Nothobranchius furzeri: one gene and its partners. The protein of the gene in region 5 purifies or fractionates together with the protein of the main gene of each other region. This does not show direct contact. Links are inferred from orthologs where the notes say so. Each region holds a gene or a part of one and is shown on either strand. Other genes may lie near its edges. The genes, in order: ftsj3, ddx24, rpl18a, rrs1 and nifk.

The links.
Region 1: the proteins of nifk (region 5) and ftsj3 fractionate together in Homo sapiens (co-fractionation; 3 studies listed by BioGRID, with this or other methods). This does not show direct contact. The link is inferred for Nothobranchius furzeri from reciprocal best matches to the Homo sapiens genes NIFK and FTSJ3.
Region 2: the proteins of nifk (region 5) and ddx24 purify together in Homo sapiens (affinity purification with mass spectrometry; 3 studies listed by BioGRID and IntAct, counting the BioPlex papers as one, with this or other methods). This does not show direct contact. The link is inferred for Nothobranchius furzeri from reciprocal best matches to the Homo sapiens genes NIFK and DDX24.
Region 3: the proteins of nifk (region 5) and rpl18a fractionate together in Homo sapiens (co-fractionation; 3 studies listed by BioGRID and IntAct, with this or other methods). This does not show direct contact. The link is inferred for Nothobranchius furzeri from reciprocal best matches to the Homo sapiens genes NIFK and RPL18A.
Region 4: the proteins of nifk (region 5) and rrs1 purify together in Homo sapiens (affinity purification with mass spectrometry; 3 studies listed by BioGRID and IntAct, counting the BioPlex papers as one, with this or other methods). This does not show direct contact. The link is inferred for Nothobranchius furzeri from reciprocal best matches to the Homo sapiens genes NIFK and RRS1.

Annotation. Positions count from the first base shown.
Region 1 is NC_091748.1:59,326,009-59,329,291, forward strand, and holds part of ftsj3 (pre-rRNA 2'-O-ribose RNA methyltransferase FTSJ3), read left to right. Parts: coding exon 1-42; intron 43-138; coding exon 139-274; intron 275-399; coding exon 400-593; intron 594-668; coding exon 669-783; intron 784-2,421; coding exon 2,422-2,503; intron 2,504-2,631; coding exon 2,632-2,788; intron 2,789-2,926; coding exon 2,927-3,021; intron 3,022-3,228; coding exon 3,229-3,283.
Region 2 is NC_091758.1:31,646,071-31,651,182, reverse strand, and holds the start of ddx24 (ATP-dependent RNA helicase DDX24), read left to right. Parts: upstream 1-1,566; 5' UTR 1,567-1,674; intron 1,675-1,757; 5' UTR 1,758-1,861; coding exon 1,862-2,666; intron 2,667-2,741; coding exon 2,742-3,146; intron 3,147-3,228; coding exon 3,229-3,382; intron 3,383-3,591; coding exon 3,592-4,104; intron 4,105-4,664; coding exon 4,665-4,740; intron 4,741-5,112. UniProt on the Homo sapiens protein: ATP-dependent RNA helicase that plays a role in various aspects of RNA metabolism including pre-mRNA splicing and is thereby involved in different biological processes such as cell cycle regulation or innate immunity.
Region 3 is NC_091741.1:33,470,314-33,475,213, forward strand, and holds the start of rpl18a (large ribosomal subunit protein eL20), read right to left. Parts: upstream 3,527-4,900; 5' UTR 3,439-3,526; coding exon 3,421-3,438; intron 1,352-3,420; exon of another isoform or gene 1,220-1,351; intron 1,161-1,219; coding exon 981-1,160; intron 830-980; coding exon 700-829; intron 1-699.
Region 4 is NC_091747.1:51,664,386-51,668,584, reverse strand, and holds rrs1 (ribosome biogenesis regulatory protein homolog), read right to left. Parts: upstream 2,513-4,199; 5' UTR 2,465-2,512; coding exon 1,421-2,464; 3' UTR 924-1,420; downstream 1-923. UniProt on the Homo sapiens protein: Involved in ribosomal large subunit assembly. May regulate the localization of the 5S RNP/5S ribonucleoprotein particle to the nucleolus.
Region 5 is NC_091747.1:25,624,096-25,629,316, reverse strand, and holds the start of nifk (MKI67 FHA domain-interacting nucleolar phosphoprotein), read left to right. Parts: upstream 1-1,757; 5' UTR 1,758-1,924; coding exon 1,925-2,047; intron 2,048-3,771; coding exon 3,772-3,900; intron 3,901-3,997; exon of another isoform or gene 3,998-4,128; intron 4,129-4,744; coding exon 4,745-4,853; intron 4,854-5,003; coding exon 5,004-5,215; intron 5,216-5,221.

The DNA of each region.
Region 1 (3,283 bases), on a different chromosome or scaffold from region 5:
ACTAGCCCAGCTGAAAACTCAAGAAGTGGCTGAACTCAAACGGTTGGATATTTTCTTCAAATTTGATCTAAATGCATTTTTACCTTTATTGCTGTTGCTCGTTTTCTATAGTTTGCATGGATTTTGATGCTCTATCAGGAAGAAGAAGAAGCTGTTGAAGGAGAGGAGGAAGCAGAGGGAGAGAGTAGAGCTGAAGATGGACCTGCCTGGTGTCTCCATTGCCAGCACCTCAGACCCATCCTTGTTTTCACTATCATCCATGAAGAAGTCAAAGGTTAAACCAAACAGAAGATGCAGAGTCACAACAGCTATTGTTTTTTTGTGACAACTGCTTTCATCTGTTGGTCTGCATGTTTCATTCTAATTTAAAGCCTTTTTGTTGTCTCCGTTGTCTGTCAGGTGCTGGCTGATATCACTAAAGGGGACATGCAGGCGGCAGACAACATGGTAGATGGAGAAGATGACATTCACGTTTCAGATGAGGAGGAGGAGGATGGAGCAGATAAAATGTCTCTGGCATCTGACTTAGATGAAGATGATTTGGAAGAAGTGGAACAAAGACAGAAAGTGCTGGAAAAGAAAGCATCCAAAAAGTAATAGTTTTTTTTCTGCATAAAAACGTTTTACTTGCACAGAAAAGTCACTTCTTTTTTTTTTTGTACTTACAGAGTAAAGTTTGAGGAGGAAGAGCAAGAAGACGAGGATCAGGAGGGTGGGCTGCTGGTGGAACTGGAGGGAAAAGAGGAGAAAAAGGAGCAGCAGACCAATCTGTGGTTTAGCAAGGTTTGTTTCCCATCAACGATAGGCTGAGCTCTTCAGCAGCGTGTAACAATGACGATGATAATAATAATAATAATAATAATATAATAGCACTTGTTATTGCATTTCAAAGTCAGGGACCCCAAAGTGTTTTACTGCACAGTTAGGCACACTGATGTTGATGAGCTATTGTAGCCACGGCTGCCCTGGGACCACCGGCAGATAAGGACGGTGGGGTGTTTCGGCCAGGGACACAACAACTGAGACTGAAGGAGCCTGAGTTTTAACAGGTGTTGTGTCAAAAAAAAAGCCTGCTTGTCAAAATTTGCACCCCCTGTTGAAACAACTGCATATTGCAGAAGTAAACTATTAGAAGTATGAACGATGAGGCTATTTTTAATAGATTCAGAATGTTAACAAGTTGCTGATCTGGGTTTCTCCTTTAAAGGTTTTGGTTTTAACTAGAAATATAATTAAATAATGAATAAACAGTAAATGTTTTTGACTTTTTTCGTCTGAACACGTCTGAGACAATATGTTACTGAGTATTTTTATATTGCATTTTGTGCCGGCTTATTAAGCTATTTTGCTGTTGGTTTAGAAAAAAACAGCTGTGTGACTGAAAGGACAAACCTTTTAAAGAGTTATTATAACTTCAAATAAAACATGTTATAACCATGATTTATTTCATTTATCTGCCCATAAACCATCAATTTGTAAGGAGCCACGCAGATAAGAAACATGTTAAAAGTATGAATTTATTAAAAAGCTGCTTCCTTACTCATATGCGCCTTCCCAAAACAGATGCTAATTTCCGCAGGCATGCTCTTTACAGCACAACACCTGTAACCCAATAATTACGGGATCTTGCTGATCGGGTGGGACACTTTAGATATTATTGATCCTTAGAAAGCTATGATCACGGTCATAAATGCAAGCAGGGATAAAATAACTGTAAACACTTTGGTAAAGCCACTTGGAAATTTAAAATAATGTCCAACTCACCAGTCAAAGTCTCACATCATTGACAGAAGAGTGACATCTGGAACAGACTCTTTTACAAGGGTCCAATTAATGTCCTCCAATAAAACATTTATTCCACAACAAGTCTTACGTGCATTATCCAACACAACTGACTGCTGAAAACCTTCAAAGTTCTTTTCAGATGAGTTTCCTACCACAACTTACGCTAGCATCTTCATATTAACGTTAAACGGCTACCTGATCCAACAGGTGACCCCTCCAGCTGGGGGTACAATCTTCAACTACTGGCTGACAGTTCAAAGGCACCGCCCTCTTTTGTTACATGTATAGCTTGAGCCTATAGCGATGCGGTATGTTGTTGATTGACGCACCAAATCAATGAAAATCAGAAAACAATGGAACCCTCGTGGTCTGCTTCAACAAACTGAAAGATGGATCCCTGTGTGTCAGGTTGCTACCATTTGTCATTTGTATGTAGGTTGGAAAGTTTTACATATGGCCCAACCTCCTATTTTCTTAGTATTTCAGCCTGTGGAGACTAGTTCTGTTTTTGGGAGAAAACAGCACAGAGAGATTGTTGTTTTTGAGCAAAACTGCAGGAAAGTGACTCATCTCATAAAAAAAAGCATGACTGCCTATGCATAAATATGTTTTAGTAATTAGTCATTTGCTTTTTAGGGCATCTTTTCTGAAATTGACCTGGAGGGAGATGCAGAGAGTGAGCTGAAACAGACCGAACTGCTCCAGAGCAAACAGTCAGGTAACGGGCTCCCTCGCCCTTTTTCATATTTATATATTCATTCATTATTAGACGAGCTATATTTTTAAAGGTCAGTTGTTAGCTTGACTCTGTGTCTGGCAAAACTAATATATTTGAATGTTTTCTAGGAAAAGGCAAAAAAAGGAAATTTGAGGAAGAAGAAAAAGCGACTGGAGAAGAGAAAAGGGAGGAAGCTGCTCCTCCAGATGAGACAAAAGCAGGACCGTCACAGGAAGCTGTGGAGGAAAGTGACAGCGACTCAGACGATAGCAGCGACGATGAGAAGTAAAACTTTGCTTTCTCTGACTCTGTTTTTTTATCTCAAACGTGTAAATAATGTATAGAAGGGAAATTAATTTTAAATCATAAACCCTGGAAATCAGATAAAATGAATTACAACTGAACAGACTGGTCCATCTTCAGGGAAATTGCCAGTATGAAGCCAGGAAAGGGAGCTAATGCTGCATCAGGAGAAGCTGACGAGGACGGATTTCAGGTTGTTCCTGTGGAAAGTACCAGTGAGTATCACACTGCTCACTCTGGTTTACATTTGACTTTAATTTAGGTCATTTAGTTCACTCTTCCTTCTCTTAACAGGCTAACATGCTTTAAATGGGATAGGAAGCTTCTTTGTCACTTTAATAAGTAATTAGTCCCAACACTGAACGCTCCTTTGGTTTTAATGTTGTGCAAATAACAATGGTTGTGTTTCCTGTTTAATTCAGGTAAGAAAGCAAGAATTCTGGATGCAGAAGGCCTGGCCCTTGGCTGTGAGATTGC
Region 2 (5,112 bases), on a different chromosome or scaffold from region 5:
GTTCAAGAGTAGCTTGACACAAAGACCCATGTCTTGTATACATCTGTTTGAGGATTGATTTAAGACGTGTGATGCGGCGGAGTTGGAAAAAGCAGGACTTGACAGTGTTTTGCTGTCATTTGACATGGCAACCTAAACACCCTCAACTTTAGCAATGACCTTTTGTGTCTTGCCCTCCTTGTGCAAGGTGTAATGGTCATATTTTGGACAGGTAAGTTAGCAGTCTTCCCCATGATTGTGTAGCCTACAGAACTGGGCTGACCCCTTCTTTCCACTGCACGTGAAAGTGTCGCAAAATGAAGGATGCCAGAATTGGCTGCCGTTATCGTGGATGAGTTCCTTTCCACTACCGTGACGTTTTGAAGCGAGGGCATGCTATCGTTACGTTTTGAGTATGTTTTTTACGTGCTAAACTTCCAAAACATGCCCAACTGTGCAGTTTAGATCGCACCAGACAGGAAGTCATATGCAAAGCAGTGTAGAAACTTTCAAAATTAAAGTAACATGCAGGTAAACGTATGTCATTTCCTGCTATAACCCCCAGAGCAGATGTAAACAAGAGAAAATAAACCAGACCTTTTGTGAGTAATGCAGCTACCTTTCTGCTTGCTTATTGTGTGTGGAGTTCTGAAATCACGGGTGGTGTTACAATTCTTCCGTGATTTTGTAACGTCACGGGATCAGCTGTGTGGAAGACTTTAACTCCCATTTTGCATCATTGCTCCAGGGGCTTGCGGGGTAAAATCATCGACATAAATGGGTAAAATGCCTCTTTTACATTACGCGACCACTTTCATGGCTGGTGGAAAGCCGGGGTGACAAACCATTTAAAGGCATTTGCTGGTGTTTTGAGTTAATTAGCTGATTAGAGTGTGGCAGGAGTCTCCAATATTGGCTCTTTTCACAATAATCTAATGTTCTGAGAAACTGAATTTGGGATTTTCCTAGTTGTCAGTTACAATCATCAAAATTAAAGAAATAAACATTTGAAATATATCAGTTTGTGTTTAATGAATTAATCTACTATAAAAGTATCCCTTTTTGAATGGAATTACAAAAAGAAATCAACTTTGTCATGATATTCTAATTTTAGGACCTGTTCTTGGCTAATCTAACACTGGCTATTTGCTCTTGTCAGTTTTATTTTCTATGTGATGGTTAAGGATGGTCACCAGACACCTGAGAGGGCTTTTTAAGTTAAACCTTAGATTGTTGTCTGGCCCATACAACAAAAATACAATGTTAGTGTGACTAGAAGCATTGTCCAAAATATTTATTTGAATAAAAAACATCGTAAAACCTCAACAGTAAATGAAATCCCAAAACAAAAATGATTTTAAGACGAGCAAATATACAAAAGAAAACTATAGCCTCAACTATTATGTACTTTTGAGTTGTGCATATTACTACTTTTTACAGCAAAACGTAATATAAATGTTCTCACGATTGTACATTTTTACTGAGAAACACCCAGAACCCTGATGTAATAATAAAAACTGAAATAATAGGTTTCATTAGGCTAATCTGGAAAGTTTTGATTTTGGGATTTGTCTTCCGTTGTTTGACAAATAAAGTTTTTACAAACCACGTGACGCACTGTCATGGCGGCGTACTTGTTCGATGCGTGGATGTAGATCAAAAACATCTTTTATAAGCAACTTGCTTTTAAACCAGGTATTTGTTTCCCTTTATGACTGATGTAGCTTAATTTAAACATTTTACAACTAATTTACATGTTTTTGTAATTGTCGTTGCAGTTTCGTCACAAAGGCGCGACACACAGCGTGGGGAAAGTCACATTTTAGCAGTAACTGAATCTTTATTCGAGACAGTTGTTTACAGGAACACGAAAGTACAGAAGATGAAACCTAAAAACAAACGTGTTTCCTCTGGAAAGAAGAAGAAGGCAGTGAAGTGGAGCATCGATACGAGAGGCGAGTGGAAAGCCGTGGAGCTGGATCCCAGTCTAATTGTGGAGAAGGGCCTGGAGGATCTGGTGTGCTTCGAAGAGCTGACAGATTACCGCCTGGTAGACAGCGAGAAGGCTGCAGCCAGAGCTGCTAAAGAGCTGAAAACAAAGAAGGCAAAGAAAAGAAAAGCTGAGGAGACAGGGAAGGTGGAGAGCAAAGAGGCAGAAAACACAACTGAACCTGTCAAGAAAAAAGCAAAAAAGAGAAAAAACAAGAAAGGAGCTGCTAAAACATCAGATGATCATAATAAAGCTGTGTCAAAAGAGGATAAATCTGCTGGTGAAGACGGAGGAGGAAATAATGCAGCACATGAAGAAAAAACAGCAGAAGTATTAGAAAATACATCAGCTGGTACCAAAAAAAGGAAGAAGAAGAAGAAGAAGAAAGTAAAGCAGCAGAGGGTTCAGGATGTGGTTGCAGATGAACAAATAGACTTGGAACGTTTACCAGAAAAATCCAGTCATAATAAATCTGGAAAGCCTCTTAAGAGAAAGACTCAGAACTGGGCAAATGCAGCACTGTCTGGTTCTGATGACAAAAAGTCTGATGTGAGTGCGTGGAAGGATCTGTTTGTGCCACCCCTGGTTCTGAAGGCACTGAGCAGTCTGGGATTCAGCTCACCCACACCAATTCAGGCCCTGGCGTTGCCACCAGCTATCAGAGATCGGATGGACATACTGGGAGCAGCTGAGACTGGTAAGGTCACTTCAACTTTCATCTTTTAAACAGTCATTAAGATTATTGGCTCACCTTGCTTGTGTACAATTTTAGGAAGTGGTAAGACTTTGGCTTTTGGGATTCCCATGATCCACACCATCCTGGAGTGGAAAAGCGGCGCAAAGAGAACAACTGAGGACACTGGACCGGCCTCAACGGCGGAGAGCTTGCGTTTACCGTCAGATGATGTTCCCACAGAATTACCCAACCAGGACAGTGATGAAGATTCAGAGGAAGGTGATTTAGATCAGACTCTAGAAGCCTCTGATGAAGAAGATGCCGAGGATGGCGATGAGAATGAGCAGCTTGGGTGTGTTAAAGTGATCGACAAAGTGGAGTTTGATTTTGAGGAGAAAGCTGACGGTCGGAGTCGTCCTCTCCTTGGGCTGGTTCTCACTCCCACCAGGGAGCTGGCTGTTCAGGTCAAACATCACATTGACGCTATCACCAAATTTACAGGTGAGCTTTTATTACACAGAAGTGTTGATCCGCCGCGGGATGTATCTCCTTTTACACTTTTGTTGGTGTTTCTGTGCTGCAGATATCAAAACGGCGGTCGTTGTAGGAGGAATGTCTCAGCCGAAACAACGACGGATGCTGAAGCGCAGGCCCGAAATCCTCATTGCCACTCCGGGACGTCTGTGGGACTTAATTAAGGAGCAACATCCTCACCTGCTCAACCTCAGACAGCTCAAGTACGTCACAGTTCAAATCCCTTCAGCATCTGATTCATAAAACTCATATCCCAATATGAAAAATATGATAGCAAGCATCCACAAATCACAAAGCAATAAACTATAGATCCATACCAACTGCATCTTTTGTCAGAAACATAGAAACTCAGCATTATTAGTTTAATTACATGCATGCTTCTTTTGGCACCTGTCTGGCTCTGGTGCTGCAGGTGTCTGGTCATCGATGAAGCCGACCGCATGGTCGAGAGAGGTCACTTTGCAGAGCTGGAGAGTCTGCTGGAGATGCTGAACACGACTCACAGCAACCCTACGAGACAAACATTTGTCTTCTCTGCTACTCTGATGATGGCACACAGCCTGCCCAGCCGCCTCCTGCAGAAGAAGAAAAGGAGTCTGGACTCCAGGAGCAAACTGGAAATTCTCATGGAGAAGGTGGGGATTAAGTCTAAACCCAAAATCGTTGACCTCACCAGGAAGGAGGCCACGGTTGAGACGCTGACGGAAACACGGATCCACTGTCAGAAGGACGAGAAGGACTTCTACTTGTATTACTTCCTGCTTTGTCATCCTGGACGCACCATGGTGTTTGCAAACAGCATTGACTGCATCAAGAGACTCACCTCTCTGCTGGCGATCTTGGATTGTTCTCCGCTGCCTCTACACGGCAACATGCACCAGAAACAGCGCCTCAAAAACCTGGAAAGGTTTGCCGAGGGGGAAAAGTAAGCAGTGCGCTTACTTGTGTGTACAGTGATCCCTCGTTTATCGCTGTAGATGCGTTCCAGACCTGGCCGCGACAGGTGAAAATCCGCGAAGTAGGGACACCATATTTACAGTACAGCACATTCTCTTTTTGTGGGTAAAACTCAAGAGAAAATTTTTTTACTTGTTTTTTTTTTATAGTTTTATTACAAAAAGTGCATTTTATGATGATATTGATGAAAAAAAACAGGAATTTGATATTTCACATAGAAAAATACCGCGAATCGGTGAAAAATGCCACGAATCTGCGAATTTCCCTTGAATAAGCCTCCAAAGAAAAAATCCGCGAAGTCGTGAATCTGTGATAAACGAACCGCGAAGTAGCGAGGGATCACTGTAACTTATGATTTTGTGTGTTCTTGTTGTTACTGAAACATGATTTTTATAAAAACTTTTCAGTTAAATAAAATAATTCCAATAATATAAACTCACAAAAACAATAATTAACTTCTGAAATGATGAGCATTACCTTTAAAGATGCACCTTCCTGAATCTGGCTTTTTACTTTTTGCCTTCGCAGCTGTGTTCTCTTGACGACTGATGTGGCGGCCAGAGGCCTGGACATCCCCGATGTTCAACATGTTATTCACTACCAGGTCAAACCTAAAGACCTTTACCTACCATTAATGGGTGTTTTGTGTAAAAGTTGTAAATTGTTGCTGCTTTGTCTAGACGTAGATAACATTTCTCCACTTTGCTTGCAGCCAAGGCCAAAGAGCAAGTTCCCTGAGACGCTAATTTTACTTCTTATTTTTGAAATACAATCAGTTACTCTGAGCTTAACATACTGGCTAAATGTGAAAATAGTCTTCTACCCCTATTTCCTGCATTGATATAGATGGGCAAATGCTCAGATTACAAAAGCATGCCACTTCTCCATCGTATTGAAAATGATCACTAAGACTCATGTTGGCTCACGACGGGGAAGGATGTTAGTGATTTAGCGTCCACAAGAGAGCAGAGGGCAT
Region 3 (4,900 bases), on a different chromosome or scaffold from region 5:
TTAGATCGATGAATCGGATGTGGTCTCAACTCGATTCATTGATTAATTTGATTAAACGGGAAAATAAAAAAATTCTAGAGAATAACTTTTCCCTCCTTCCTTTAACAGAACCTGATTAGAAAACGGTTCGGTAACGTGTAAAGCAACACGCTGTCACCTAAATATGTCCATAATTAAACTATGATTCAGTATTTCATTAGCATGTTCAGTAGTAAGCTACTGAACATGCTAACAGTTAATTTATTAATGAACAGGACGGTGACGGGGACTTTTCTTCTGCTTCTAGAGTTTAGAGGTTCTTCGTTTCATGAACATCGGGTTTTCCTGAACCCACTTGATCGTGAGCCTGCTACCTGCTAGCGTTAGCTAATCTGCTTGTAGTTACACTTTTGGCACTAAACTCTGGACTGTTTCTGCTTCTGCGTCTTCGCTGGTTTCGGTTTTCCTCCACAGCCCCTAGATTAGCTCAGTGTGCACCGGTGAAACACACCAATTACACGAGCGACATAGATGTGCCTCGGTCTGATCTGCTGCCGCATCAGATGAGCAGTGACGGTTACTTAAAGGTTGCACAACACAACGAATTGATAACGAATGGATTTGTTGTTGCAGCCCTAGCCCAGGTTCACGTTTCTTCCATCTTTGACCCGTTTGCCCTGGAACACAAACACCTAACGGCTCGGCTGGACCGGTACTCACAGCACTGGGTGACGGCTCCAGACGTGCTCAGGTCCCGGTACTCTCTGTACATGTTGTGGGTTCCGCTCCGAGAGTCGTAACGCAACCAGATACCAAAGTTTTTCACCTTCAGGGGCGTCTTCTCGTGGACCTGAGGACAGAGGGGGTTATGAACGGATCAGCCAGGCTCAGCTTCATGAGAACCAAACGTCGCTTCTTCTGACAGCTGATCTACGATGGGATGTGGACGGGACTCTGACTCAGATCTTTTTACTGAAAATGTTCTGATTCATTTCACCCACCAGGCCACAGTAGACAATCTCGCCTGAAGCCTTCTTCATCTTCCTCAGCTGCGAGACAAAGTACCAGAAACGGGACTTTGCCACCACGTGGTTTGGAGCAAAGATCCTCATGCGGTAAAGAGGAGGGGCGGGGTTCTTGGGCGAGGGCAGCAGACGCCCGATGACTTTATACTCCCGAAGCTGCAGAAAGAACCAGAACATGTCAGAACTTCACATCATAGAAGCCTGAAACCATCAAAGCATGTTGGACCTTGAATTCACTTTCAAAGGCACCGCAGCATCAGAGAAAGGCGACAAGGACCATTTCCTGTTTGCACACCAGACAAAATCACGCCACTGACCACGGCGTGACCTTTGGGTTTGGGTGCAGACACAAACAAGACAAGACAAGGGTGCATCAGTAAGACACGGCTTTGTGCGACCAGAACTCCTCCTTCTCAGGTTTGAGCCCATCTGAAACCTTTCTCCACCTGGTTCCGGTCAAAGAACAGGAAACACTTAGGATCTGGAAATAAACCAACTTCTAAATAAAACCAGCTGAGTTTTTAACTCAACAACAACGATGTATGAGGAACCTTCTGGAGGTATAGCGAAGTCCTGGATAAAGTTACTTAAAAGACCGACAACAGTATGTACAAATTAAAGATATAAAATCTGGATTTAGAGAAATAAGTTGTGGAGTTCCACAAGGTTCAGTAATAGGTCCTATATTATTTACTTTATATATAAATGACATATGTAACGTGACAGATTTTTTCAAATTCATGTTTGCAGATGATACAAATTTAGTTTGTTCAGGTAAAGATGTTAAAGAACTTTTAAAGAAGGCCGAAAAAGAGTTAAATATCCTCAAATCTTGGTTTGATGTAAATAAACTATCAATGAATATAAAAAAGACTAAATTTATGATTTTTGGAAATAAGAAGGTAAAAAATTGGGACTTTAAATTAACAATTTCAGATACTGAAATTGAAAGAGTGTCTGAAATAAAATTTCTTGGTGTTGTGATTGACTCTAACTTATCCTGGAAGCATCATTTAAATTATATAAAAGGAAAAATTGCCAAATCTTTGGGTCTATTATATAAGCTGAAGGACATACTAAACCATAAGGCCTTACGTCTAATATACTGTTCGCTAATACAACCATACATGGCATATTGTATAGAAATATGGGGTTCAACTTTTAAAACATATATACATGAAATAAAAACTATACAAAAGAAATCTATTCGACTTATGAACAAGAGCAATTATTATGCTCATACTGGCCCGTTGTTTTTAAAATCACAGATTATGAAACTAGAAGATCTATATTATTATAAAATAATGCAATTTATGTTTAGAGTAAAATTAACGGCTCTGCCAGAAAATATACTAATGTTTTTTGCAAAGAGGGAAAGTAAATATGATTTAAGAGGTGTATGTATGTTTGTTCTTAAAAAAGCCAAAAAGGGCATGAAAAGTAGATGTATCTCTGTAATGGGGGTAAAATTTTGGAATGAGGCTAAAATAGAATTAAAATTAGCAACTTCTCTTTCAGTTCTTAAAAAACTTATCAGTAAAAATATTTTTGAAGAGTATTAATTTGATGTTGATGGATGGATTTGTGTTTTACTTTTATTTGGGTAGTTGGTTCATTGCGGGAAATTGAAAAATTGTTTTGTAAGTAGGTTAGGCAATTCTATAAGCTATTGCTTCTGCCTAAACCTGTTCATGAGATACCAAATAGACACCATTTACAACATAACATGTATATGTTAGTGAGAAATGGTATTTGTATGACATGTTATTGTATATTATCTTAAGATGACTGACTGAATAAATTGATCATTCATTCATTCATGCTGCTCAGATGTCCAGAACCATCACAGGGTTTTACTGGTCCCAGTTAAAGGCATCATCTCTGCTAAGGTTCTGGTCCAAAACCCAGTTAGTCAGAATGAACGTTTTAAACCGGCTGAATGTTAGTTTTTCTTTTACTTTGAGACTCGCTCTGCTCCTCAACTCATTTCTGAAACGTTTTACTTTTATTGTTTTGATGCATTTAGAATAAAACCAACACCGATGGTTTTCAGCCTAACAGACCTCCGCTAAAGAGCCTCCGAATGACCCGGACCCCCGTCTTAAACTGGACATATGCTCTAAATGTGACTAAAGTGTGAAGGTCGAGTAAAACACCGATCAGTAAAGCCACTACAACTGGAGCTGAGACCGTGTCCGACGCTTTTAACCACCGAACGTGTAAAACGCGTCCACATGGTGCCGCCGCCATGTTAGAGCCGAACAGGCGCAGCGCGAAAACCTCAATATTTTGTGCTTAAGCGCACTTTTACCACATGCTAGCTCAGTAATGCAGTTACATGTATGTAACACGGTTATATCGTCTTTTATAGAGCGCGTATGAAGGCTAAAACGACTAAATAAGAGTCTGAACGTACGGTTCCGGAGGCCTTCATGGTGTCTCCCGATCACTGCCACAGTCAAAGAGGAGGGAAGAAGGTAGCGACTGCGCATGTCAGTAGCACTAGGACAGCCTTTTTATGCAAATTTAGTCACATATGATTTGTAAAACACACATGATTGGTCAATGATTGATGATTTTTTTCTCCATAACTTTATTTAAATCATGTAGATAGACAATATCAATTTTTTTGTTCTTTTCTAACAAAGTTTTAGTAAAAACGTTTTTACGACATGTTTTAGCTAGTATCTCTAGCCCAAAGCCTAAAGGGTTAGGGTTTATCACAAAAGGTCTGCTCTAGCCGTCATCAGCGATCTCCGGTGTTGGTGACGCCACTTCCTTTTATCCTTTTTTTTACAACAAACTTTATTAGTGAAATTGGGGATCTTACATAGCAACGAAGTAAAGCACAACAATACAAGCAAACAAACAAAGGGGCCAAAGTGATAAAACAGTGTTCAAAGGATAAGAATACAGAGCACAATCAGGTACTACAAGGAATAGAGAGGGAGAAAATGTGTTACCAGTTGTACAAGTCGTATTCTTCAAGTAGGTTCCAAGTTTTTATAGCTTTTAAATTTCCTGAGTTTTTAATAGAATCAGCATATTTTTTAATTTCACAGAGGAAGACAGGTAAAAAAGGATTAACATGGGTATATTTACACTTATGAATATAGTATTTAGCTAAAATAAAAATTAGGTTCAGTATGTAGATTCTATTACTCTCTTTGCCTTCAAAAAATCCAAAAATAACATGTTTCAAACAGAAGGAGACATCAGGAAGAACCTTTTGCTGCAGAAGATCTAAGACATCAGACCAGAATTTAGAAGTATTTGTACAGGTCCAGAATAGGTGAGTAATTGTTTCAGGATGACTGTTACAGAAAGAACAGCAGGTGTCAATGTCATTTTTAAATCTTTGGGAAATAAAATGTTTAACAGGGTAACAGTTATGTAATATTTTAAAAGAAACCTCTCTAATTTCATTAGTTAAAATATATCTGTGGGGTAAAAGCCAAGTTTTATTCCATGGAATATTATTTACAGTAGAGTTCCAAAATGAAATAATATAGGGAGAGGAGATGGAAAGCTGTTGAAAAAGACCTCTGGTAGATTTATTGCATGATTTCTTTGGAGAAAAGCAAATTTTACCAACGTATGTTTGAGCGAGGTCAGTATAAGTCACCAAACCATCCAAAAAAGAGGATCCTGTTAGCAGCATTTTGATACCAGACGGTATTGCATTCATCACAATCGTGAACTCCCTAGGAGAAACCACTACAGGATACTTTTCTGTAAATTCAAAGTGTTCCTTTTATCCTTTTAGCTATTCCTTTTTACCCAAAGGACAAGATATCAGCAGGTAAATAATGTGGAGTCATACATAAAATCCCAGGACAGCTCAGCAATAAAACTTTCATAAGAGAAACCGGACGCCAACTCAACACACAAGAGCA
Region 4 (4,199 bases), about 26 Mb from region 5:
AGCTTTGAGCTTCCATTAGTGCTACCTGCAGTCTGGACACAAAGACTTTCCGTAACTAAAAATAACGTCACAGCTTCTTAGAAAAACCTCTCTGATGCTCACTTCTAGGAAAGAGAAAATTAGAGCCGATCTAGGACAGATAAACATAAAAGCATCCTTAAAAATACACCTGAAGGCCTGCTCTGTTGTAAACCTGTGATCAGTATTATGTAGAAATAATATTTTACATGTTTGAACCAAAATGCTGATCAGCTCTATCGATCTGGTTTAATAATCATCTTAATTTTCAGTTATTTTCAACATTTACAGTAATAATCAATAACAGCAAATATTCCTACGTTGCTTTGAATGAAAAAAATGACATCACTTAAATTTATTCAGTCTGAAAGTTATATTTATCTGAAATTTTTTTCCCATTTGCTATTTTATCTGATGTTTATCGGTAAACAGATTTAGTTCTTCGTGACCCTAAAGCATTGAATTATATGAATTTTCAGTGCACTTTTAGATTACAGGTGATCCCTCGTTTATCGCGGTAAATGCATTCCAGACCTGGCCGCGATAGGTGAAAATCCGCGAAGTAGGGACACCATATTTACAGTACAGTACTATATTGAATTATCGTATGATCACATTCTCTTTTTGTGGGTAAAACTCAAGAAAAATCTTTTTTTACTTGTTTTATTACAAAAAGTGCATTTTATGATGAAAAAACAGGAATTTCTTGATATTTCGCATAGAAAAATGCCGCAAATCGGTGAAAAATACCGCGAATCGGCGAATTTCCCTTGAATAAGGCTCCGAAGAAAAAATCTGCGAAGTCGTGAATCCGCTATAAACGAACCGCGAAGTAGCGAGGGATCACTGTACTTGTTTTTCTAAATAAATGTAACTTCAAAATCTAAAATGAAACATGGACAAAATAAGGTGAAATACTATTTATTTGTAAATGTATCCATTTCATGAATTAAGGTTGAGACAAATAAACACGCAACATGACAGTGACAATTTTAGGATGAATTTGAGCCTTTTCTTCCAGGTTTATTTGAATATAAACCTAAAAAATTAAATAAACAGATTATAAAGCCATTAAAGTTTCAAATGAGGCTTTTTGAAACTATTGGTTTTCTTAAACACTTTTTCCACCTAAAAAGGTCTAAACTTTATAATTATGACAGCAAATTATTTAATCTAATGTTAATTCTCCCAAAATGCTTTGTTGCTGAACTAATACAACTCATACATTTGTAAAATTAACCATAAACAACAGATTTGTATAAATGACACCAGATTTCTTCTTGAAAGTCAAAATATTGATGTTTTAAATCTCTTATTTCAAAAACACCAACGAAAAATAAACATCAGTTACTTATCGCTGCTGTATGAAAGTGTATTTTTTAAATATTTTTTATTAAAGTTCTCATTTCTTCCCAGGTTTTCCTCTCCTCTTTCCCCCTCCTCCAGCTTTCCCAGCCTTCCCCCCTCCTCCAGCTTTCCCAGCCTTCCCCTTCCCAGTCATGTTCCCTTTCCTTCCCCTCTTCCCACCCCCCTTCCTGCGCTTGGCTGCAGCCTCCTCTTTGTCCTCCTCCCTCATCTGCTGATTCACAGCCTTGGTGATGTCCAGTCTGGGCTTCTTGCTGCCCATGGTTTTCAGCAGATCCAGCTGCTTCTGCTTCTCGCTGGAGAAGTCACCGATCAGAGGGTCAAACTTCCTCCTCTTGCCTGAGTTCTTTGGAGGTTTCTCTTTGGGCAGGTCGTCCTGGAACCTCCCAACAGATGCTGTGGAGACTTTGGCCACACTCACTGCTTTGGCCAGCTCGTTTCTGGACTGCTGAGCTTTGGGGACCAGTCCCACGCCGGGGGTTTTGACTTTCTGCGCCCTGGCGATGTTTTTCAGCCGGTTGAACTCGTTTTTAGCCACTCGCTCCTTCTTGGCTTTGACCCGTTTAGCGAACTGGTCCTCGTTGGGGTCCGCAGTCTCTGGCACCTCAATCAGCCACTCCTTGGTGTCGTCGTTAGCCCTCTTGTAGCCCCAGCGTCTCTTCCACTCCTTCGCGGTCTCATCCCAAACCAGATTGGTTTTCTTCTTCTTTTGGATGCCTTTCAGCTTGGCGAACTGCTCCCATTTGGTTGGAGGTCTAGGCTTCAGTGGGGGCTTCTCTCTCGGCAGCCGGGTGGTCGGTTCCGGTAGCTTAGCTACTATCACCTCCTCGACCCTCTCCGTGGGGAGTTTCCATATCTCGTTGATGAGAAGTTGTGTGTTGTCACGAGCTAGCGACCGCAAGAAGTCCTCCTTCTTCTGTTCTCTGAAGTCCCGCGTCTCGATGCGGTTTTTGTCACAAGCTAGCAGGTTACCGAGGTCGAAGTCCAGGTCCAGCTCCTTCTGGACGGTGATACTTTTCAGTTTTTCAGCCTCTTCTTGCTCGGCTTTGGCTAACAACTCCTCCACACTGCTCGCAGCCATTTTCTGAACGCTCAACTCCCCACGTGCGAATCCGGAAAAACAAGGCAATGTACTTCCGGGTCGTGGGCAGCAACCGGAAGTTCTCATTTTGGCCACTAGATGGCACTGCGGTCGCTGTTTTCACCAAGAGTACAAAACAGAACGAAATGAAAAGTGACGGAATAAATGTGATTCATTGTAAGCCACAACAATAACAATAACAAATATATACAGACATATGAACATGCTAATCAGCTGTGCTATCTTGCAAGTTTATGTACACACAGCAGAACATTAATTAATTAATTCATGGTGCTTAAGGACGCCAAATATAAACAAAAACTTAAAAAATGCAGATCTTTTCAATGAGATGTTCAAATTTAAATTTTTCTACTATGCATACTTTATTGTAAGCACGCTTCTATGATTTAAAACTGAGTTCAAACAAGCCTATTGCATCATTATGTTGTGTAACAAATACACACTTGCATATTAATCATTGCAGCTTGTTTACATGCATTTTTAATGCATTTAATTTGTAAGCACCTTTCAGGACTCTCAAGGTCACTTTAACAGAAACGACATGATACAGGTTAAAACACTGTTAAATTAAAAATGCAAATCAAACAGTTAAACAGATACAAGTTAAAAATGAAAACAGTAAAATGCTAAAATACTAAACTAACAATTCAAGTTAAAATTATCAACAGATAAGTCATAAATAATCAATCAATAGATCATTATCATAAAGATATTCATTGCACATTGACACATTAGTTAAAATCTACATAAAATAACAGTAGGAAGAACATAGTCAAGCAAATGTTTGCGGTTACATTAGGCATTTGAGAAAGCCTGCCTGAATAAATGAGTTTTCAGTAGTGATTTAAACTGGATGCCATGTTTACATGCATTTTAGGATGAATCTGCTTAAATTAGAGAAGACAAATGCACACGTTCCACAGCTTCAAAACATTACGTTAAATTATTATGTTAGATGTCAAGAATTAGAATAAACGGCTTACGTAAGTTTAAAATCTTTAGAAAAGGTCTCCAAGTACCATCAGCTTTTGTACACATCCCTCTAAGTTTACTTTTAGGAGTACTGTAAATAAAATCATTATGCATAATTTATGAATGCAGAAATTTAAAATGATGCAACAGATTTCTTATTCTGTGACTTCTGGCTAAAATTCTCACTTTTACGGTATATTTGCTATTGCAATTGCTGACCCCATAGAAAGTTGTCCACATTTGGCAGAATTTTGCATTTTGTTTCGAATTAAAATAAGAAAACAAAAATTTTTACCACAACTTTTTACTTTATGAATGGAACCTTCTAAAGACAACAACAACAAAATTGTGTTTAATAAACCAGAATAGTTAAATAAGTCTAATAAGATTGGATGAAATTGTAAAAATGTGTATGAAAATGACCAGTTTTAATATATTAATATACAGTGTTTAGAAAGTTCCTGCTCTCAGACTCCTGTAGTGTCTCTGGATCATTTAAAAGTTTGCAGCTGTGATAAACTTCCCTACAGGATGGCTGAACATGTTTTCATGTGAGATTAAATCCCTTGAATTATTAATACTACACCCCTTCTCATTGTTGCACTGTGTACCATTTCCCCTCACAGCTCTGGTACTTTAATAGCTCTATTTTTATCCTCATCTTCTCTAATTTGGCTGCGGGAGGTTGGAGGGGAGGGGGGTTCCACAACAATCGGTCGCTCAAAGACGACGGTGCCATTAT
Region 5 (5,221 bases):
GGGATGCAACTCAGTATTCTTCTTCCTCCAAACACGACGAGTTGAGTTAATACCAAAAAAGTTCTACTTTGGTTTCATCTGACCACATGACATTCTCCCAATCCTCTGCTGTATCATCCATGTGCTCTCTGGCAAACTTCAGATGGGCCTGGACATGCACTGGCTTCAGCAGCGGAACACGTCTGCCACTGCAGGATTTGATTCCCTGCCGTTGTAGTGTGTCACTGATGGTGACCTTTGTTACTGTGGTCCCAGCTCTCTGCAGGTCATTCACCAGGTCCCCCCGTGTGGTTCTGGGATTCTTGCTCACCGTTCTCATGTATCATTTTGACCCCACGGGATGAGATCCTGCGTGGAGCCCCAGATCGAGGGAGATTATCAGTGGTCTTGTATGTCTTCCATTTTCTGATAATTGCTCCACAGTTGATTTTTTCACACCAAGCTGCTTGCCTATTGTAGATTCACTCTTCCCAGTCTGGTGCAGGTCTACAATTCTTTTCCTGGTGTCCTTCGAAAGCTCTTTGGTCTTGGCCATAGTGGAGTTTGGAGTCTGACTGTTTGAGGCTGTGGACAGGTGTCTTTTATACAGATAATGAGTTCAAACAGGTGCCATTAATACAGGTAACGAGTGGAGGACAGAAAAGCTTCTTAAAGACGTTACAGGTCTGTGAGAGCCAGAGATTTTCCTTGTTTGAAGTGACTAAATACTCATTTTCCACCCCGATTTACAAATAAATTCTTTAAAAATCCTGCCATGTGAATTTATGGATTTTTTTTTCACATTCTGTCTCTCACAGTTGAAGTGTACCTATGATGTAAATTACTGACCCTGCCGAGACACCTGCCGGCCGCGACATTTGGAATTCTAGGATGTCCAAGGAAGATCCCGCCTTTCTCGTCTCTGATTGGCTAGAAAGGCTCTACCACGATTGGCTATTTCATTTAACAGCAAACTGGCTGTCCTGCTAAGGGCTGACAACAGTCCTTCTGCCACCAGCAGAAAGCTGTTTTGGGGAGTTTAGTAAAGAAAATGTGAACTTAGCGCTATAATAAACATTTTGTCCTGGTTTGCGAAATATTTTGTTTAATAAAAAACTGAAAAACATAAAATGTGAATTTTAAATCTTGCTGCATTTATCAAACTGTTGGACTTACTTTATTTCTCTTGGCTCTTAAGCATTAGAGTATAAACATGCCTTACCTGGGTATGACATTTAATAAAACTGCCCTGAGCTGCCGGTCTGTTTCTTCTCTAGAATAATGAATACTGGTGAAAAATAGGTCTAAATCATAATCAGCTTTAACTTAATTTTTGATTACATGATATACATTTAATCTGATGATGAGAGATGTGCTCTAACTTGTAAACAGCCTTAACCTATTAAAGCAGGATAGCCTAATAATGAAGTAATAAGATAACCTCAATAGAGCCAGCAGATACAAAGTCAGTCTACAGTGTGATAAAATGCCACACGATTTATTACAAGTTCACATTTGATGTTTTTCAGGTTCTTTTATGAAAGAAACTGGACCTGATTTGTTGCTAAACAGAAAATTATGTTTATTATAGCGATGAGTTCACATTTTCTTCAAAAAAACTCCTCAAGATCTGGCTATAAACATAAAAACCTGCAGCGAGGGAAAACGGTTTCCTCTTACACGAAATAGCCAATCGCAGTAGAGCCCTTCCAAACAATCAGAGGCGAGAAAGGGAGTAAGACGAGACCTTCCTTGGAAATCCTAGAATTCCAAATGACGCCTCCCGGCCTGCAGGGGGAGCGCTGTGACACCAGCACGACGCCACGACCAGCGCTTCCGTTCCGTCTTCGACTACCCACATGTCGGAGCTCCAACGTGTTGTAAGGCGACATTGATCCTCAAAGCTCTTTAAACGTCTCCGTTTGGGTCATAAAAAACGAGCGAAATGACGGAAGGTAAAGCAGAATCCACCTCAGCGCGAGCAAAAGAGCTACTGGCTCTGAATCCGGCCCAAGAGTCCGAGTTTAAGAAGAAAGTCCAGGAGGCGAAGCAGAAGAAGTCCGGGAAGGTGGGTTCCGATGGAAGTGTGGCTCTGATGGAGATAAATCTGATCATTTAGTTACTGGATTACACTAGGATTTAACTACCCGGTTCTCTTTAGGGGTTTTGAACGCATTTGATTTTGTTCTTTAATAACTATTTTTAAGGCCACCTTGTTTAGCTAGTGCACACGTTAGCTTAAACTAACAGCTACAGCACTCTCCTCCCAGTCCCACCCTGCTAAAGAAGGCCTGGAAAAGTTCCCCCACACATCAAAGTGATTTTTCATTTATGAGCTTTTATAACCTTGTTAATCAGGATAGTTGATTTGCTGCTGCACATAAACCGTCAGTCAGAAGCTCTGCTAGCCGGTTAGCTTAAGAGGAGCTAGTTCAGTTTGTTAGCTTGTTATCAGAATCATAGTTGCAGTTTCATCATCTGAGCTGCTTTTTAAGATCTAGGTAAACTTGTTCAATTTGGGGTTAAAAACTAACGTTTTCACATATTTTCCATGTAGTTTTTTGCCAGTTCCTCTTGTGAAAGGTAGACAATTGTTTTTCTCTTTCCCTCAGAAAATCTTAATATTCTCCCAGTTTGGCCCAGCACAGTTCACTTCCCAATAGCAGCAACAGCCTTATATCATAACCACATAAGTGGAGAAAATGCTCAGTAGCAATGAGAGAATTTGCTGTTGCATTTAATGATGTTAACTATTATTTAACATTTTTCAGATATTTTTATTTATTCTAAAACCCTGGTAAGGGATGTTTTTCTGTATTTGGAGCATCAGAAAAAGTTTTATGGTGGAGGTGATGTTTTAAAGTCACTGAGAAACTGCATGCATGCAGTTTATTGTTTTGCTGCTAATACAGTAGCAGGTGCAGCTGCTAATACAGTAGCAGGTGCAGCTGCTAATACAGTAGCAGGTGCAGCTGCATATTTTTGCAATAAAAATGTTATGTTGTAATGGAATTCATGCATTAGTTTTTGTTTGCTCTGAACCCAGAGCAGACTTCACACGCCAAACGACATCAACACTGCATACTTTAGTATTTTTTCATTTATCGTGAGTAATATCGACATTGCAATATTAAGCACTGTTATCTAATATCGCAGGTTTTCCTAATATTGTGCAGCCCTATTTTATACCATACTAGACTAGTTTTATAAAACATTTAACTAGTTTTATACCATACTAGACTTGTTTTATGCCATATTAGACTAGTTTTATACAACATTTAATTACTTTTAAACCATATTAACTAGTTTCTTACCATATTAGACTAGTTTTATGTAGGGCTGAGTACTCGATTACAAAAATATTCAATAGCTGCAGCCCTAGTTTTATACCATACTAGATTTATAAAATATCAGACTAGTTTTATAAAACATTTAACTAGTTTCATACCATATAAGACTAGTTTTTAAACCATATTTAACTGTAGTTTTACATGATGCACCATCAATCATAGAGCACAGGACTATATTAAAACTTTAATTAGGAGGCTAACAATAACTTAGACTAGTGGTAATAAACGTTACTAGTGATTAATATAAACATGTGGTAATAGAAGGTAATTAAAGACCTAAATGATAAAAAAAAGTGAAGCAACATTATAATAACTTTAATAAACACAATCTAGAAAGTTATTAATCTGTTGTTCTTCCAGCCAGTCTGTAGTCTTATATCATGTAACTGGATGAGTGTTTCTCTAGACTTCTTAAAGAATTGAACGTTTTCTGTCTTTTCAGGGTGGACGTCTGACTCCAGGTGTTGTTTACGTCGGTCACCTGCCTTTGGGACTATTTGAGCCGCAGCTTAAATCGTACTTTGAACAGTTTGGGAGGGTCCTGCGTCTTCGTTTGTCCAGAAGCAAGAAGGTGATGTTGAACGGTGCCATGTTTAGTGAAGACTAATAGCTTTATTTACATCATCAGAGCAGCAATGGCCCTGCAGCTCTGCTCCAACACATGTGGCTCAGGCTGAAAATGGTCTCGGGTGTAAATGTGGTCTGAGGTCAGATAACTGAGCCTAAAGTATTCTGGTGCATTAAGCTTATTGCCTGCTGGACCTGATAGCAGAGCGATAAAACCCATGTCCCAACATTCACTAAAGGTTGGTTTATGCTTGACGTGTCCGCGAGGTCCGCGCGGCAAAATTGCGTCATTTTAACAACCACGCGCCTCCGCACGGCCCAAACTTTCCGCACCGCACACCTAGGAAATTTTCTAACCACGCGGACGGTCGGACGCGGTAAAACATGGCGGACTGGCAAGGACTAGTATGGCAGAGGTTCGTAAATACAGACATTTGTATGATTCGGCTCTCAGAGATCACAGTGATCAACATGTTGTTAATAATTCTTGGAGAGAAATAGCTCGCACTGTCGGAAAAGACGAGAACGCTGTTAAAAATGCTGGAATGCCATGTTGTAAACAACAGTAATGTTTACTTCTACTATGGTGTAGTGTTGGATGCATGCCATAGAGCTCCATGCTGCCCCCTACAGTTTGGGAGAATATTGGCTCACCGCAGAGACGAGCCGCACGAACCATAAACGCTGCGAGTTGTGAAGCGCGGTCCATCCGCGAGCCGCATCACTGCGCGGAAAGTGAATGTGTCAAGCATAAACCAAGCTTACTCCAGATGTGACCAGCCTGGGATGGAGACGTTTCCCCTCCTGAAAGCGGGGCTGGGTACTGATCCATGTGTGCTTTGTTACAGACTGGTGGAAGTAAAGGCTACGCGTTTTTGGAGTTTGAATGTGATGAAGTAGCAAAGATTGTTGTGGAGACCATGAACAATTACCTGATGGGGGAGAAACTCATCAAATGTGAGTTTTTTCCTGTGTTTGTCTGAGAGTTACGGGAGTGTTGTGCCTCAATAGGATTGCTACCTAAGAAGGATTTACAGTACTTGCTCAGACGCCGTTTGGAATCCATCCATATTCCCGACTTTCACTGTAGCATCTTTGCATTTGCAGGTCATCTGATTCCTCCCGAGAAGGTACATGAGAAGCTGTTTGTTGGCTCCCAAAAGACTTTTAAAAAACCTTCAAATCCCGCTGTAAAGCGGTACAACAGGAAGCGTTCAGCAGAGCAGGTGGCCAAAATGACGGAGCGGCTTCTACGCAAAGAGTCCAAGCTCCGCAAGAAGTTGGAAGCACAGGGAATCGACTATGACTTCCCTGGATTTGTAAGT